Linked DNA regions of Arabidopsis thaliana. The protein of the gene in region 2 interacts with the protein of the main gene of each other region in a biochemical or structural test. Each region holds a gene or a part of one and is shown on either strand. Other genes may lie near its edges.

Region 1 (4,048 bases), on a different chromosome or scaffold from region 2:
TTTAACGGTAAACACTAGAGGATTTAGACCAGAGTATTTTACCTTGTAAGGATGATGCTTTATGTTTGTTTGAATGAGGTCTTGACTCAAGTGGAAGAACCAGAATTAAGAAATAAAAACAGATTGTTTCTCGACATTTTGTAAAATATGAACCAATGAAGAGGATTCCGATTTCTGACCCAAGATGGGAGTATTTATAGAGAGCCATTTATCTGAATTTTTGTAATAAAATATTATCTTCTAACGGTAATAAAATGTTACCGTTTCAACGTTTAAATTTTATTATACTTTCAACTTTCAAGTCTAATCAAACTTAACGTTGGAACAATATAGGGAATCGTAAACGCAACGTTCATATTTTGCTATTAAACTTTTGTATAATTCCATAACTATATCTTTATTTTTGAGAATATTTGAAATGCATTGCCCACTCTTCTATGTTTATCACTATAGTTTTGATGATTAATGTTGTCTAAATTCATCCTCTTCTCTCATTTTTTTCACGATTTCTTTTTCTCAGCTACTTCTCCGACGTTAAGTGCGAGTATTAATTCTACTAATAAAAGTAAATTGGGTTGAAATCTTAATTTAATACATATTCATGTGCTATAGTCTATAGATAGTCTAAATTTATACCTTTTTGTATATAAAATGGCTTGAGTTCTTCCATCTTTTTTTTGGTTCTTTAGAAAAGAAAACACGTTAAACAAAAAAAGCAGGATAACATACTAAACCATTAGACATTAGTACATAGACTAGATCCAAAAAATACAAACATGTCTAAACGAAGTTTAAGATGATACAACCATATGAATGTGTACTTCTTCCATTGTGCACGCACCCAAATCCCACTTAACAAGAAACAGAAACCTCCTAGTAAATTGCCACATCCAGATAATCTCCAATCTGCAGATAGATTGATCAACTTCAGTTATAGCTACTTGGGTAACAGAATATGAAAAATTAATGTTATAGACTATATAATCATCATACAAGATGATCTTCTATGCATGTAAAAAACTTACCTCAAACGGAAGTTCGGAAAGCGTTTTACTGTCATCTGGTTGTTTTCGGTTTGGATAAGCCATCGTCTCCCCAACCTTTATCAATTAACAGAAACAACACCACAAGATCAGACTCTTCTCATGGGTTCTTGAATACATATGCAAACATCACAAGAGAACAAGTAAAGCCATAACGATTGAATCTGAAAGCATCCATTCAATCAAATTACTTCATTCTGTAGTAACTAGCTATGATTATGTGGTCTCTCTGAAGTTTCAAAAATCAATAACCATGAGAAGATGAGTTGTCAATAAGCGAAAGACATGTACAAGAGAAACATTGTTGACAAAACTCCGAATGATACTGGTAGCTACATGTGCGACAAAGAGGTGTGGCAGGGGAAAACACAGAAACTCTAGAATGCATCAATGATCATGCGTGGCTACGGTGACAACTTATCTGATCAAGATTGTGAAGAGAACGTAATCTTACCTCTCTCACATTATAGCCACCTTTATTGTTAGGATAAACAAACGCAAAAGACAATCTAGCATTCCTTCTCCTAGCTGCTACAGAAACTTCTTTAACCTGCAATGAAAACGTGATTTAACATTGTGCTTATGAGAGAAGCATCACCTTTGTACGTTACACAAAACCCCCAAAAATGTGAATTTTAATCAGCACTCCTCAGCAGTAAAAACAAAGTGAGTCCTTTAGCTGAAAATCCGTCATATTTGTAAAAACAAAACTACACAAGAAAAGTTCTCAAAGCAAGCTGCTTTATTGTTGTCTCAAGCACCCAATCTAAATCTTAATGGTAGAAGACATACCAAATCTGTTAGCTCGCGAAGACTGGCATCTTTCCAAGTGTAGATTTGAACTTCATCCTTTGGTTCTTTGCCTCTCACAGCATAATCTTCACTAGTATGATGACCACCACTCTGCAATCAAACCTACCCAATTAATCCTAATTTGCAGACTAATTCAGAAACAAACATAGCCAGTTCTCCAGTGATTAAACTTGCATTCAGTAAAATCAGTGAAGAAGAGTACCTTGGTGAAAACACGAAGAAGAAGGGGACATGTCTGCGATTCGAAGGTTAAAGATAAAGAAATCAATAAGTACAGATAAAAACCCTAAAAGGAAACCCTAAAGGATGATGATTCAACGATTCGCGAATAATGAAATCGAACACAAACCTTTTCACGATCGACAGGTTCAGGTTTAGGGCGAGGAGGTTGTTGGTTAACGCCTCTCGGAGGTGGCGGTAATGGTCTCCCACCACCTTGTCTTCTCGCTGCTTCAGCCATCTCTCTTTTTCTCTCGAGAGAAATCACTACGACGAAGAAGAAGGTAATGGCACAGAGATTGATCGGACCGCTTTAGGCCCATACTTATTTAACCTAATGGGCCTTTTGTACAACAATTTGGGCCTAACTCGTTTATAGATTTTGTTGCCAATGGTCCGTTTAAAAGATTTGAAATATATATATTTTTTTTCTACTTTTTCTTTTCTTGGTTTATAACCTTTGAATATCTATATTTGAAACACACATTGAAGATCACTAACTCGAAATTCAAAAATAAAAAGAGAGACAAATATAGCAATCCATAATCAATGCATAGAGACTTCAAGTGACCTACTAGGATCCCACTAAAAAATAATATGCTGTTTTTTGCCTATTCCTTTTGCATCATTCTTGTTATAGTAAAATGGTAAAAGAAATTATGGAAAATAAGAAAATGGGGTCATTGAATGTCAAGAGGGTAACATTTTCAGACGATAAGGCGCAATGACCCCACACCTCACATGAAGCTGCAGTGCCATTTCCAAAAGAGTGTGTGGATATGAATTTGAACAAAGAAACATTGGTGATGAAATTAAAAAAGAAAAGGAAAGATTACTACAAAGTGAAAAGTATGAAATTATGAAGACTACCCGATCTTCTTTGCCTCCCTTTCCGTATTTGGCATGCCCCTAACCACTACCACAACCTCTTCCCTTCGGAACTTTGTAAATAAACATTCACTGTTTTTTTTTTTGCTTTTTAAATAGCTGTTAATTGTACAAATTCATTTACATGGCTTACTGTTTTTCAAAAGGAGATACTAAATAGTATATAGTACTATAATTTTGTCCACCATGTTCTATGAAACTCGTCCAAACATAAAAAGGTTTTTATATCATCAAACGTACGACTTTCCTTTGTTATTTTCTTGGATTGGACACAACGAGATTGGTTTGGTCACTGTCCGATCTAGTTATTGATATATATATATATATATATATATATATATATATATATATATATTTTTTTAATATAATGTAGATGTAGCCCACTAACTTTTGATAAGCTTTCATTTTTCTATACTTTCATTTTTCTATAATGTAAAAAGATAGATGAAAATGAAACTACTAGATTACAACTTTTTAACAAAAAATAAAAAACTACTAGATTACAGCTCTTGATTGGTTGATAACTTGATATCATATATCGTGTTTGTAGTTGAAGATGTAAAGATTTATCATCTTGTATTTGAATTTTGCACAATATATAATGTGATGATTCTATGTTTGTTTGTAAACTTATGTGCAAATGGGCGATAACTAAACGTTCGTAAAATAGTTACATGTACTAATTAATCGAAGCACATAAATATTATATATATATATATGTATATATATGAAACGATTCATTGATTTTAAGTATTTAATTTATTTTTTAAGATTTTAGTTGTCTTAACCTCGTACGAAGAAGAAGGATATATACTATTTAACTCGTGGAGATGATGAGGTTCGGATATTTTTCCTTAAGACCACAAGACACTGACACGCCGACTGATCGATAAAAAAAGTTAAGGCCTACAATACAAAAGAGTAGCAGATTCCCTTACACGTGTTTCATTTATGATCTGTTAATTAACTCCATTGAGCTTCAATATCTCATTAGCCGAAAATTAACTTGACGTTTTCCATTGAACTGTCGAAAAAATTTGTAGAAAAAGTGAAATGTCCCCTATTTAACTTCCAAGTTTAAAACC
Region 2 (5,577 bases):
TATTGTTTGAGTTATAAAATTCTAACTTCACTTGAGAACCTTTTCTAAAAACTTAATTTATTGAAATTTTGTAGTGCATAAAGAAAAGTTTGGGAAAAGCTAAGTTCACTATCTAGATCACCTTAGTTCCATTAGTTTTTTCAATAGTTCCTTCTTACAAAACTCCATTGTTGAATAAAATGCACATGAAAGACTTCGTTGATGGTTTGCAAGGTTGCTCAAAAGTGGAAGACATGACGTTACCCCTAAGCCTAAAGGTCCTTCGTTGGACGTGATCTTCCGAGGTTTTTGTTCTGCTGATTGCGTGAATACATATTTTTGGCCAAAAAAATCTTTTCTAGAGAGTGAAGGTAAGGAACAAAGACTTACCTTTGTTTTATATGAATCGAGAAAGGAGGTGAAAACATTTGTAGAAATTAATTAACATATTTGTTCTTTCACACCCCTCTCCAATATTATATTTATTGTTTCATTGTTGTTAATGTAAAGAATCACTATAGAAAACCTATCGTTTCACTATATTTACTTGTTTCATTAGTGTTAAAATTATTATTTGTCCGTGATGTGAAGAATCCCTTTGGTGCAAAATAGTTATAAAGACCAATAACACGTACAATATCTGAAACTTGCTTCTCTGCAATGCAATGAGAATTCATCCTTCCCATCTCAATTCTTTTTCAACACTTATTCAAAGAAAAGAAAGGGAAAAGGTAGACTTAATATTTGTGGGCTTCCATCGAAGTCAACTCTGCTGGATCTTTCTCTCTCTCAGATTCATTCCCAAGATGGAAGCCTAACCAACAAACAGTTAGTAAACATCCACATACAAAATGTCAACAAAAAGTTTGAAATATGTTCAGTTAAACAAATTATACCCAAGCTTCAGGGAAGTGTCGGAGTCATCCTCAAGGGGAGTTCCACTGTCGTAGCTTGACACATTTGTGGTCACCGACTCTGTCTCCAAAGCCTCTTTAAGCGTCGTCAGTTTTGCCCTTTCCAACGTCTCTAGCTGCCGATATATAATATACGTTCCCTCATCATATTTTCTTATACATAAAAAAATAGATTAAGGTTATTCCATGATATCTATAAGGGTTTAGAGCCGTACTTTATCCCTCAGTCTCTTATTCTCATCCACCAATTCCGATCCCTGTTTCACTTATTAAGAAAGTCACTAGCTATAGATAGGCTTATGATCCATTAGTTATACGAATTGTATGTACTAACTACTAACCCGTTTCTCAAGTGAGAAAATTTGGCTCATCACACACTCGCCCTATTTACCAATAACAACAACAAAGTCAAACTTTTATATATGTACAGCTTATTATTTATATGCCACGTTAAGGAAAATATGCATGCTATTAGTTTATGTATAGTAGTAAACCTTCTTTTCAGACACACGGCTAAGTCCGGATTCAAGTAGTTTCTCCAGCCGCTGCAACTCTTCTAAGTTCAATCCATCAAGATCCTCTCCTCTCAGTTTCCTGTTTTACGTTAAATTAACACTCATTTCTATCAAAAATATCTCTATAGATATTTATCCAGTCAGTGATATATCAGATATTTGTTCAGTAGGTCTACCAAAGAAAAAGAAAAAAAAAACTACCTATGCTAGATATAGATAGTAATGTATATAATTTTTTTAATGAATTAATGAGAATAATGGGCCATAATTGAAAATTACAAAACTCTTGTAAATTTTAGAAGTAGCTCTTAAAATCTACAAACAAAACATCAATTTCCAAGACACACGCCACAACTTGACGAACTTACACGTGAAATGAAATATCTTCAATTTCCATGAAATAGATTCTAAAACCTAAAAATAGCATGCACACATCATTGAAAAAACATAAAAAAAAAAACCACACACATGAAATAGATGATCTCTTACAGCTATAGCCTATATGAAAATAGGTTTATCTGCATAACATATCAATGGAGCCATACCGTAGCTGCTTGGTTTTGTCTTCGACTTCCTTACTTAGTCTGGAGAGGTTACAATTCTCAAGCTGCTAGATGCAAAGTCAACAGTTTCAGGATTCTGCTATTAATATGTAAAACCAATTAATTAGATGCTTCAAGATTAATGATTATATGCCACTCAATGTTTCTATATTTAGACTTACAGCTAAAAATTATAACAAACACGTGTAACAAAGTGAACATCGGATAATATTATAGAGAGAAGGGTTTGATAAAAAGAGAAGGGTTTGGTAAAAAGAGCAGAGAGTTTAAAATCCACAAAAAAAAAAAAGAGTAAGTGATATCGAAAATACCCGGAGATGAGTAGAAGGTGGATCCATCAATTTGTTGATGTTACTTGCATGAAGACTATACCTTCCCAATATGTCTCTCATTCTACACGTTTCAACAAACAATCCATCTTTCTTATAAACATTTCCTTCGTCCATATTACATTTGTAAAATTAATTAAGTACATTAGAAGCCTTTTTGGTTATAATAAAAGAAAAGTAATCAGAAGTAGCCATCACGATACAGACAGATGACTCGTTTCCCAATTATGGTAATGCTTCCCAAGATAAACTAAACGAGTGGTTAAGAATTAATCCCCAATCATACCAAGTGACAGTGTCAAAGACTTTTGTAATACACAAAGTCAAATGAAAAAAGGGAAAAGAAATTCATTCTAATTGTGGTAAGTACTATGTATCCATATATACATATGCTTTCCTAATTAACAAAAATCACACTATAATATTCTGCTCTCTTATTTCCCAGTACAGAAATCTTAACCATGAGTCTAAATGAAAATGATTGAAAAATTACACGTTAAAAACCCATATTATGTTAAACGGAATTAAATACATGATGTGTTATACATAAAAGTAATAAAACATCAATCCTATACTTTAAAGTATAATAATTTAGGTCATCAAATTATGCCGTACATGAGATCTCCGAGCCTACTGATAATTAACTTTAGAGAGTAAACGAGAAAATAAAAATCTCATTTAAATACATATCTTAATATATTTATCCAACCATATTCTCAAAAACACAAACATGGATTGAAAAAAATAAGACAACTACTAACAAAAAGATAGAATATACCTTGAGCTGGAGAACTCGAAGAGCTTTCCGGTGGCAGAGAAGATGATGAGAGCAACATCAGCATCGCAAAGAACTGAAAGTTCATCGGCTTTCTTGAAGATTCCTCTTCTTCTCTTTGAGAAAGTAACTTGTCTCGCTGTTATGTTATCAATCTTCTTTATCCTTATCTTCTCTCTCGCCATTTTACCAGATCTCTCCTTCACTACTGTTCTTGAATCTGCCTATACCCATAACACCATTTAGATTTTAGACCAAGAACAAAGAAAGAAACCAATTGGAACGGTGTTAGCTAAAGAGAGTTTATATAATATTCTTAGGAAACCCTAATGGCTAGAGAGAGAGAGAAAGAGAGATCAGATCCATAAACCATGAGAAGCAAAAGAATGGACAGGACTAGATGAATTCATCAAACACTTTGCTTAAGAAGAAAGAACACAGATTCACAGCTTTTACCTTTCTGTGAGTTGGAGGATCTTGGATTACGTTATTCAATCTCAGCACCCACTTTATTAAATTTGTGAGAAGATAAAAAAGGTTTTTCTGGTAGCTGTTTACTCCCTAATGTGTGAGTGAGAGAGAAAGAGAGAGAGAGATGGTGACTGTGTTTGTGTTCAAGATTGGAAAAAAGAGTCTGCTTTTTTTAGCTAAACAGTGATCTATACTTATCAATGGGCCATATGTTTTGTATCCCTTTTGATTATGTCTTTTTCCCAAACTATAATCATTAAAAATAACACATAAACACACTTTGTGTTTTGTCTGACTGAGCTGCCAGACGAAGAGACTGCTACAGTTATGATTTAATAATTTACCTAACCTTCTAATTCAATTAGTCTGTCATGGAATAATGTGGAATTGTAACTTTATTCAGTAGCGGGTTTCCTAGTTTTACTGTTTTAGTCTAGTTTTGAATAACTTCCCATCTAAAAACAAAATAAAAATAAATGACGTGAAATACTACTCCGTATAAGTTAATAGATTTATATATGGCTAGGTCAAATAAAATGATACAAAAGTTACCCACTATCAAAAATGTAACATGATAAAATAAAAAAACATAATTGGAAAATGAAAGAAATCACAATACACAAGGAACTACGTACCAATTCTAATGGAAAGAAAGTTTGGTTACTTTTTTTATTCGTAATTAGAAGATGCTGTTCATCAGTTCATCTACCTTTTTGGTTTTGGTTTATTACAAAAGTTGTGTCTATTAAATATTTCATGTCTTTTTTATAGTCTTTCACCTATATATGCTAGATGCGACACCTGATAAGATCACTCGTCTCCCACCGTCATCATTATCTTTTATTTTTGGGTTTGATCAGCCATTTATACCCTTTTAAGTTTTAACCCTAATTAGAAATGATATATCACCGGACTCCGGTAACTCTAGGGTGATATCATGGCCGACAAGTATCTTGTAAATTTTTTCTCCCAAAGTACAACTGAAAATTAAACTAAACTGATAAAATTCGTGGGAAACGTACCATCTCATAATGATACATGTGAAAAGTAATATAGATGACTTTAAGACTTCAATCTGTATAAGATTAAGTTCTTTATGACTAAAACAAATAAGCACTAAGAATGTGAGACAGATTTAGTATTGTAAGCCTTTGGTTTTGTTTATGGGAGGAAAAAAAGCGAGTGCAAAATCAGAAAGTGAGAGTTTTTGGTGTAGATCAATGTTATTGGTCTTTAGGATCTTATAGTAATATGTTGAAAATATATTTGGGACGAGCTAGAAGACTCCCAAGGTCATATAAATGTGAAACTAAACAGTAATTGTAATAGTGTTCAAGAAGAATCATCTAACACGTTTAAAAAGCTTAGACTTGTTGTTGACCCTTGTTACCCTTTCATATATCTTGTGTTTCTTACTTGAGTTTAGAAAAAGAAAAATCTTAAGCCTTTCATTTGGAATGCTTGGTCATCTTGTCAGCCCTCTAGGCTCATGTATATCTCCCGATTGCTCGATCCCGAAAGTCTTCACTAACCTTCGTTGTCAGCTTAATCCTCAAAGTTTTGACTTCCAAAAATAAATTATGTGTTGTACCCTTTATATCAACTCACATTTTGCTTCCTCGTAAACAATGTTTTTTTTTTTCTCCTCCGAGATCGAACCATCATTTATAGTACTTACTACTTATTTCCTTAAACTCATAACAAGTTCGAAATTTGGGCCATATTGATGTCTTAAAAATAGGCCCATATAAGAACAAGAAATCATAATTCACAAAAACACAGAACCCTCCGTCTCATGAAGAAGCTTCACGATAACGACGGCAAATGGTAAAACGTGAACCACCTCACCACCAGACACACAAAAAGACGAGACCGATCGGCGATCAGTAGACTTAACCAAACTCGCGGTGAAACAGTCGGAATCCACCGCTATAAGGAACGATGATGATCTCCCAATTCTTCGTCTTATCTCAGCGAGGAGATAACATCGTCTTCCGTGACTGTAAGCTCTCTTTCTCGATCTGATCCTCT
Region 3 (5,130 bases), on a different chromosome or scaffold from region 2:
TTAATACTTGTATTTATTATGAGTGATACTAATTTTTTTTAATATAAATTTTATTGGATTTAAATAATCTCGAACCTTAACAATTTGATTAGTCATGAAAAATTATAAATTCTCAAATTTCTCTCCTGAGATTAAAAGAATTCCATCTTTGAAATCCATTTCATTTCATCTTCTAAAAATGAAATCTTGGCACTTGTTGGCTGTTGCTTTAACTTTGATTATATACTGGTTTACATTTTTCTGGCTAGTGCGTATCTTTGTACTCTTATGTGTTTATGTTTTGGCAAATGTGTGAGCATTTTCATTCTTTACATAGGTACCTAAACTTTCATTCTTGTTGGACTTTGGTTAGTTGTTTGAATCTTCTCAATGTCCTCTCCTTTTCAGTATATGGTGTAAATGGTGCTTTAAAACTTACCTAAATTTTTACTGTAGATGGTGAAACTCATTTCTAGTAGTACCTTCTTCAAAACCCAAATTTTTCACTGTGCTCAAAAGACAGAGACTACTTGATGAAAGAGACACTATTTACAAACATAAACTGATGAAGAAATGGTTCAAAACACTGAAACAAACAAAGAACAAAAAAACAACTTGGAAGAATTAAAGAATTGCAAAAGAAATCAACTACTACTCTGCAACATTTCCACACTACAAAAATTCTCCACTCTTTCTATTGACTTGTGGAAGCAGAAGCTTCAGGGACATCAATCAACGGTTCTGATGTTGTTGCTGTTGTCTCTTCCGGTCTAATCTCTCCAAGTTGTGTCATCACTTGTTGAGCTTCAGGTCTTGTTGATGGTGTAGCATCAACACAATGTAAAGCCAGTTTCAGTGTATTCAAAATCTCATCACCCATTGTGTTCACATCATTCAACAGCTCCAAATCAAAAACCTCATTAGTCCACTCTTCTTTAACCGCAGTAGCAACCCATTGAGGCAAATCCACACCGTTTAAGGCCTCACTCGGAGATTTCCCAGTCAACAGTTCCAATATGATCACACCGAGGCTGTACACATCGGTTTTCGTGTTGGCTTTCTTCAGCTTAGAGAGCTCAGGTGCTCTGTAACCTAACGCACCAGCTGTTGCAATCACGCTGGATCCTGCTGCTGCTGTCATTAGCCTTGAGAGACCGTAATCTGAGATCTTCGCGGTTATGTTCTCATCCAAAAGCACATTGCTTGATGTTAAGTTTCCGTGGATGATATTTGCGTGTGTGTGAAGGTAGAACAAGCCTCGAGCCATTCCCTTTATTAAGCTCATCCTTGTAGGCCAATTGATATGTACATCTGGTCCTCTTGCTGCAATTTCAAATATGAAAACAGAGTTACAAAATGGTACTTGTAAAGCAAAATTGTCTTTAACTTTAAGACTTTAGTATCAAACTTACCATGGAGAAACGTGGCAAGGCTTCCTCTAGACATGTAATCGAAGACGACAAGCTTCTCTCCTTTAGGGCCTAAGTAATAAGCTCTGAGTGCAAGGAGATTCGGATGCCGGATTCTTCCCAAGACGTTAATCTCATTCTCAAACTCTTTTTGACTTTTGGTGATCTTTCTCTCAATCTCTTCACTGCTACTTGACTTCCATCTTCAAGTGTAGCTTTGTACACAGTCCCATAAGTGCTTTTCCCCATTATCTCTGCTGTTGCACACAAAAGATCATCTGCAGTAAACGCCATTGGTCCATCAAAATGAACCAGCTTCCCTCCAGTTTCACCTCCAGCTTCAGCTTCCCCTCCTTTCTCAGTCTTTGCGGCTACAGCTCCAGGTCCAGCCTCTCCGCCCTTGGCTTTGGTTTCATTGGCTTTCTTCCTCAGCAAGCAACATAGAACACAAACAAGGATAAGCATAACTATGAGGAGTGCTCCAGACGCAATGAGGATGATGTCTTTGGTACTCAGATTCCTGTGGGATGGTTTCCTTTCTTTTTCAGGAGACGGTGAAGGAAGAGTAGGACATGGTGTCGAAACGCTGTATCCGCAAAGCAGTGAGTTCCCGACAAAAGAAGAGGAATTGAACTTTTGGGACAAGAGAGTAGGAACAGGACCAGATAAGTTGTTATAAGAGACATTGAAGAAGTTCAGGCTTTCCAGGTCAGAAATCGAAATAGGAATCTCTCCGGTGAGTTTGTTTTGAGACAAATCCAAATGTATAAGAGAAGAAATGTTCCCTAGGGTTTCAGGGATATGGCCACTAACACTGTTACCACTAATATCCATTTTTCTAAGCTTAGTGAGTTTGCTTAGCTCAGAGGGTAGGGTTCCACGGATCCTATTATGACTAAAGGAAAAAATCTTGCAGCTGAGTTAAGTTGCAGAGTGAAAATGGGAACGGACCAGAGAGAGAGTTGTGATCAAGAGATAAGACACGGAGATTAAGAGACTTACTACCCCAAGTATCTAAGATTGGACCAGAGAGGTTGTTATGGTCAAGAGCAAGAAACTGAAGGGAAGAAGACCGAGAGAGACTCACTGGGATTTGACCAGACAGTGAATTAAAGCTGAGATTAAGCCTAAGAAGCTTAGAAGAGTCAGCAAGATTCGGTGGAATAATCTCAGAGAGCAAGTTATTGCTGAGATCAAGCGTTTGAAGGAAATGTGATACACCGAGAGAAGCAGGGATTGAGCCAGTGAGACGGTTGTTGAAAAGCTGAACTCCTCTAAGATTAGGAATGAGTCCCAATGACATTGGAATCGAACCTCCAAGGTTGTTGTCATGAAGACTAAGCTTACGAAGAGCTTGAAGCTGTCCGATTTTCTCAGAGATTCTACCTCCAAGACTCTTCCATGGAAGTTGAATGACGATGACTTGACCTTGAGCACATTTTATTCCAGCCCAGCCTCCAGAGCAAGCACTGAATCCAGAACCGTTCCAGCTTCTCAAGAAGCCTCTTGGATCAATCAGTTCTTGTTTAACTGCTTGAAGACCTTGGTAATCAGCTTGTGTTATCACTACACCATCCCAGGCTTGGCTTGAGCAGGGAGGGACGAAGAAGAGGAGGCATATGATTAGATGAAGGAGAAATCGGCTTCGAAGTGAAGCCTTAGGTTGATCAATGTCGGTGTTGATCATACTCAGAGAAGTAATAGCTTGGTTTTGGGTGATAAACTCCATTAGAAGATGAAGAAGAAGAAGAAGAGAGAAGAAAGAAGATAATTGGAGTTCTTTATGGGTGAATAGTAGTTGTGATGAGGATGGAACAGGGAAAGATTTTGGATTTGAAAGAGTTTTGTAAAGAGAGAGATGGGTTTCGTTGGAAAAGAACAACAGAGCACGTGACCATCTTAGAGAGAGAGAGAGAATCTTGGTCTGTGTTCTTTTATCTTGTAGTGAGAGAGAAGTGAGAGAAAGAGAGAGAAGGGAGACAAAGATCAGGTGATGGTAATAAGAGGTTGGGGGGTGGGAACAGTGGATCTCTCTGTTCTGGCCTAATATTAGTAAATGGGCTCCAACGGCTAGTTTCATTTATTCATATTAGTTACTTGTGTTTAATAGTGTTTTGAAAACACTTTGTTTTGTTCGATGGGTTGCTCTTGCTCATGTCATTTTGTTTAACAGTGTTTAGTAAAATACTAGTATATGGATTTCATTGGGAATTTGGAATTACTAATACATAAAGGTAGATTTTGTTAACTAAGTATCAAAAAACGATAAAAAATCATTAATCACAATACAAACATGTTGGTTCTGACAAAGATGAAAAATTTACTAGTATTACAAAAACAAAAATTTTGATTTGTCAAGAGTACTATCATGCTTCGAATTTGAACCAGTAATATATTACTTACATTCAAATTTACCAGTTGTTTTCTTGGAATCTTTTTTTTATAGCTCTTAGTTGTTTGTATGTGAGGTCAACATTATTTAATTTTATTCCAAATCTAAGGAAAGAGATCAAAGTATTGTTCTTCCGAATAAAGTAACAAATAAAGCAGACAACATAATTTTATTTTATTCTTGCAGACCAGCTTCGTTTAATGCGTCGGAGCTGCCTAATGGACACGACACACGAACAACAAACCGCTCCGCTCCTTCACTTCTCCTCCTAACGGCTATATTTGTGGGACCTACAAGCCATTGGATCACTAGATCTTGTAAAGAAGCCCAAAGGAAATGAACAAGCCATTTTATTTATGGTTACTGACTAAAATGCCCTCGCAAATGGAAAGTAAATAAAGTAGTACAGTTTCAGAAGAAGCAGACACACAACTTTGAAACTTGAAAGTGAAACTTTTCCTGGCTTACAATTAAACAAAGAAAAGAAGGGAAGGGTTGTGCCGTACGAGGTTATTATGTTGACGCTGATCTATCTTTGCCCTTTTTAACATAAGGCTGGTACACGTGTTTAAAGTGTTTGGATACTAGATGTGGAGGTTTTGAACTTCAATTTTTTTAAAAATTCTTGCATATACATTTTTCACTTCAAACACATTTTCTGAACATATACCAAACCTGACCATTTCTCTTATGAACAAGTCATCTCTATAATGAAGTCTATAATGACATATCACTCCTGTGGTTGCAAGAACAAAATTCTGGAGACACTCTTACCTTGAACTCAAATGGTATGTCATGTATTGTAAATACTATATCACAAGATTAGTAATTCTCAAGCCATAAGGTTTGGAGGAATCGAAACAAGATGGTTTCCGAAGGCGAATTTTATCATGCTGATGAAGCTGTTGCTAAAGCAATTAGATATTAGCCCCGGGAAAAATAAAGTCCAAACAATCTCTCAAAGTTAAACTGTACTCAAACCATCAACCTCGAACCCCAAAGCAAAGCCTAATTTTGTGAACAATAAACCAACTAACAATGCCCTACTTTTATAATCGGATCATCCTCATGTCCACCAAATCTGTTAATAAGTTTTATATTTCACAAAGTGGGAACTATGAGCAAATTAGCAGATTGATACTAGTTAGGAAAGGCAAGACAGTCATATATATGACTATATTCCATCCATAAAAGCATGAAAGTTACTTACTTCAAATCACAAACCAATGAGAAAATATAGGAGATAACCACAGTTGAGACTTATTAACACTAAATTAGATTAATATATACTAACTCGCCACTAGACCATCAATGCAACAGCTATGAACACTAACCTAATAAACGAAAAAG

What was found. The genes of interacting proteins can lie anywhere in the genome.
Region 1: the proteins of AGL24 (region 2) and SAP18 form a complex in vitro, tested with the Arabidopsis thaliana proteins (one study listed by BioGRID).
Region 3: the proteins of AGL24 (region 2) and MRLK form a complex in vitro, tested with the Arabidopsis thaliana proteins (one study listed by BioGRID).

Annotation. Positions count from the first base shown.
Region 1 is NC_003071.7:18,799,008-18,803,055, forward strand, and holds SAP18 (SIN3 associated polypeptide P18), read right to left. Parts: upstream 2,377-4,048; 5' UTR 2,317-2,376; coding exon 2,206-2,316; intron 2,092-2,205; coding exon 2,059-2,091; intron 1,947-2,058; coding exon 1,836-1,946; intron 1,594-1,835; coding exon 1,498-1,593; intron 1,101-1,497; coding exon 1,026-1,100; intron 907-1,025; coding exon 874-906; 3' UTR 521-873; downstream 1-520. UniProt on the Arabidopsis thaliana protein: Links the histone deacetylase complex to transcriptional repressors bound to chromatin. Involved in the tethering of the SIN3 complex to core histone proteins.
Region 2 is NC_003075.7:12,670,386-12,675,962, forward strand, and holds AGL24 (AGAMOUS-like 24), read right to left. Parts: upstream 3,722-5,577; 5' UTR 3,532-3,721; intron 3,300-3,531; 5' UTR 3,261-3,299; coding exon 3,079-3,260; intron 2,365-3,078; coding exon 2,283-2,364; intron 2,016-2,282; coding exon 1,954-2,015; intron 1,488-1,953; coding exon 1,388-1,487; intron 1,277-1,387; coding exon 1,235-1,276; intron 1,151-1,234; coding exon 1,109-1,150; intron 1,010-1,108; coding exon 876-1,009; intron 794-875; coding exon 775-793; 3' UTR 512-774; downstream 1-511. Other genes in the region: AT4G24550 (Clathrin adaptor complexes medium subunit family protein), read left to right, coding at 5,488-5,548. UniProt on the Arabidopsis thaliana protein: Transcription activator that mediates floral transition in response to vernalization. Promotes inflorescence fate in apical meristems. Acts in a dosage-dependent manner. Probably involved in the transduction of RLK-mediated signaling (e.g. IMK3 pathway).
Region 3 is NC_003074.8:20,816,401-20,821,530, forward strand, and holds MRLK (meristematic receptor-like kinase), read right to left. Parts: upstream 3,118-5,130; coding exon 2,387-3,117; coding exon of another isoform or gene 2,275-2,386; coding exon 1,461-2,274; coding exon of another isoform or gene 1,392-1,460; intron 1,303-1,391; coding exon of another isoform or gene 674-1,302; 3' UTR 521-673; downstream 1-520. UniProt on the Arabidopsis thaliana protein: Can phosphorylate AGL24.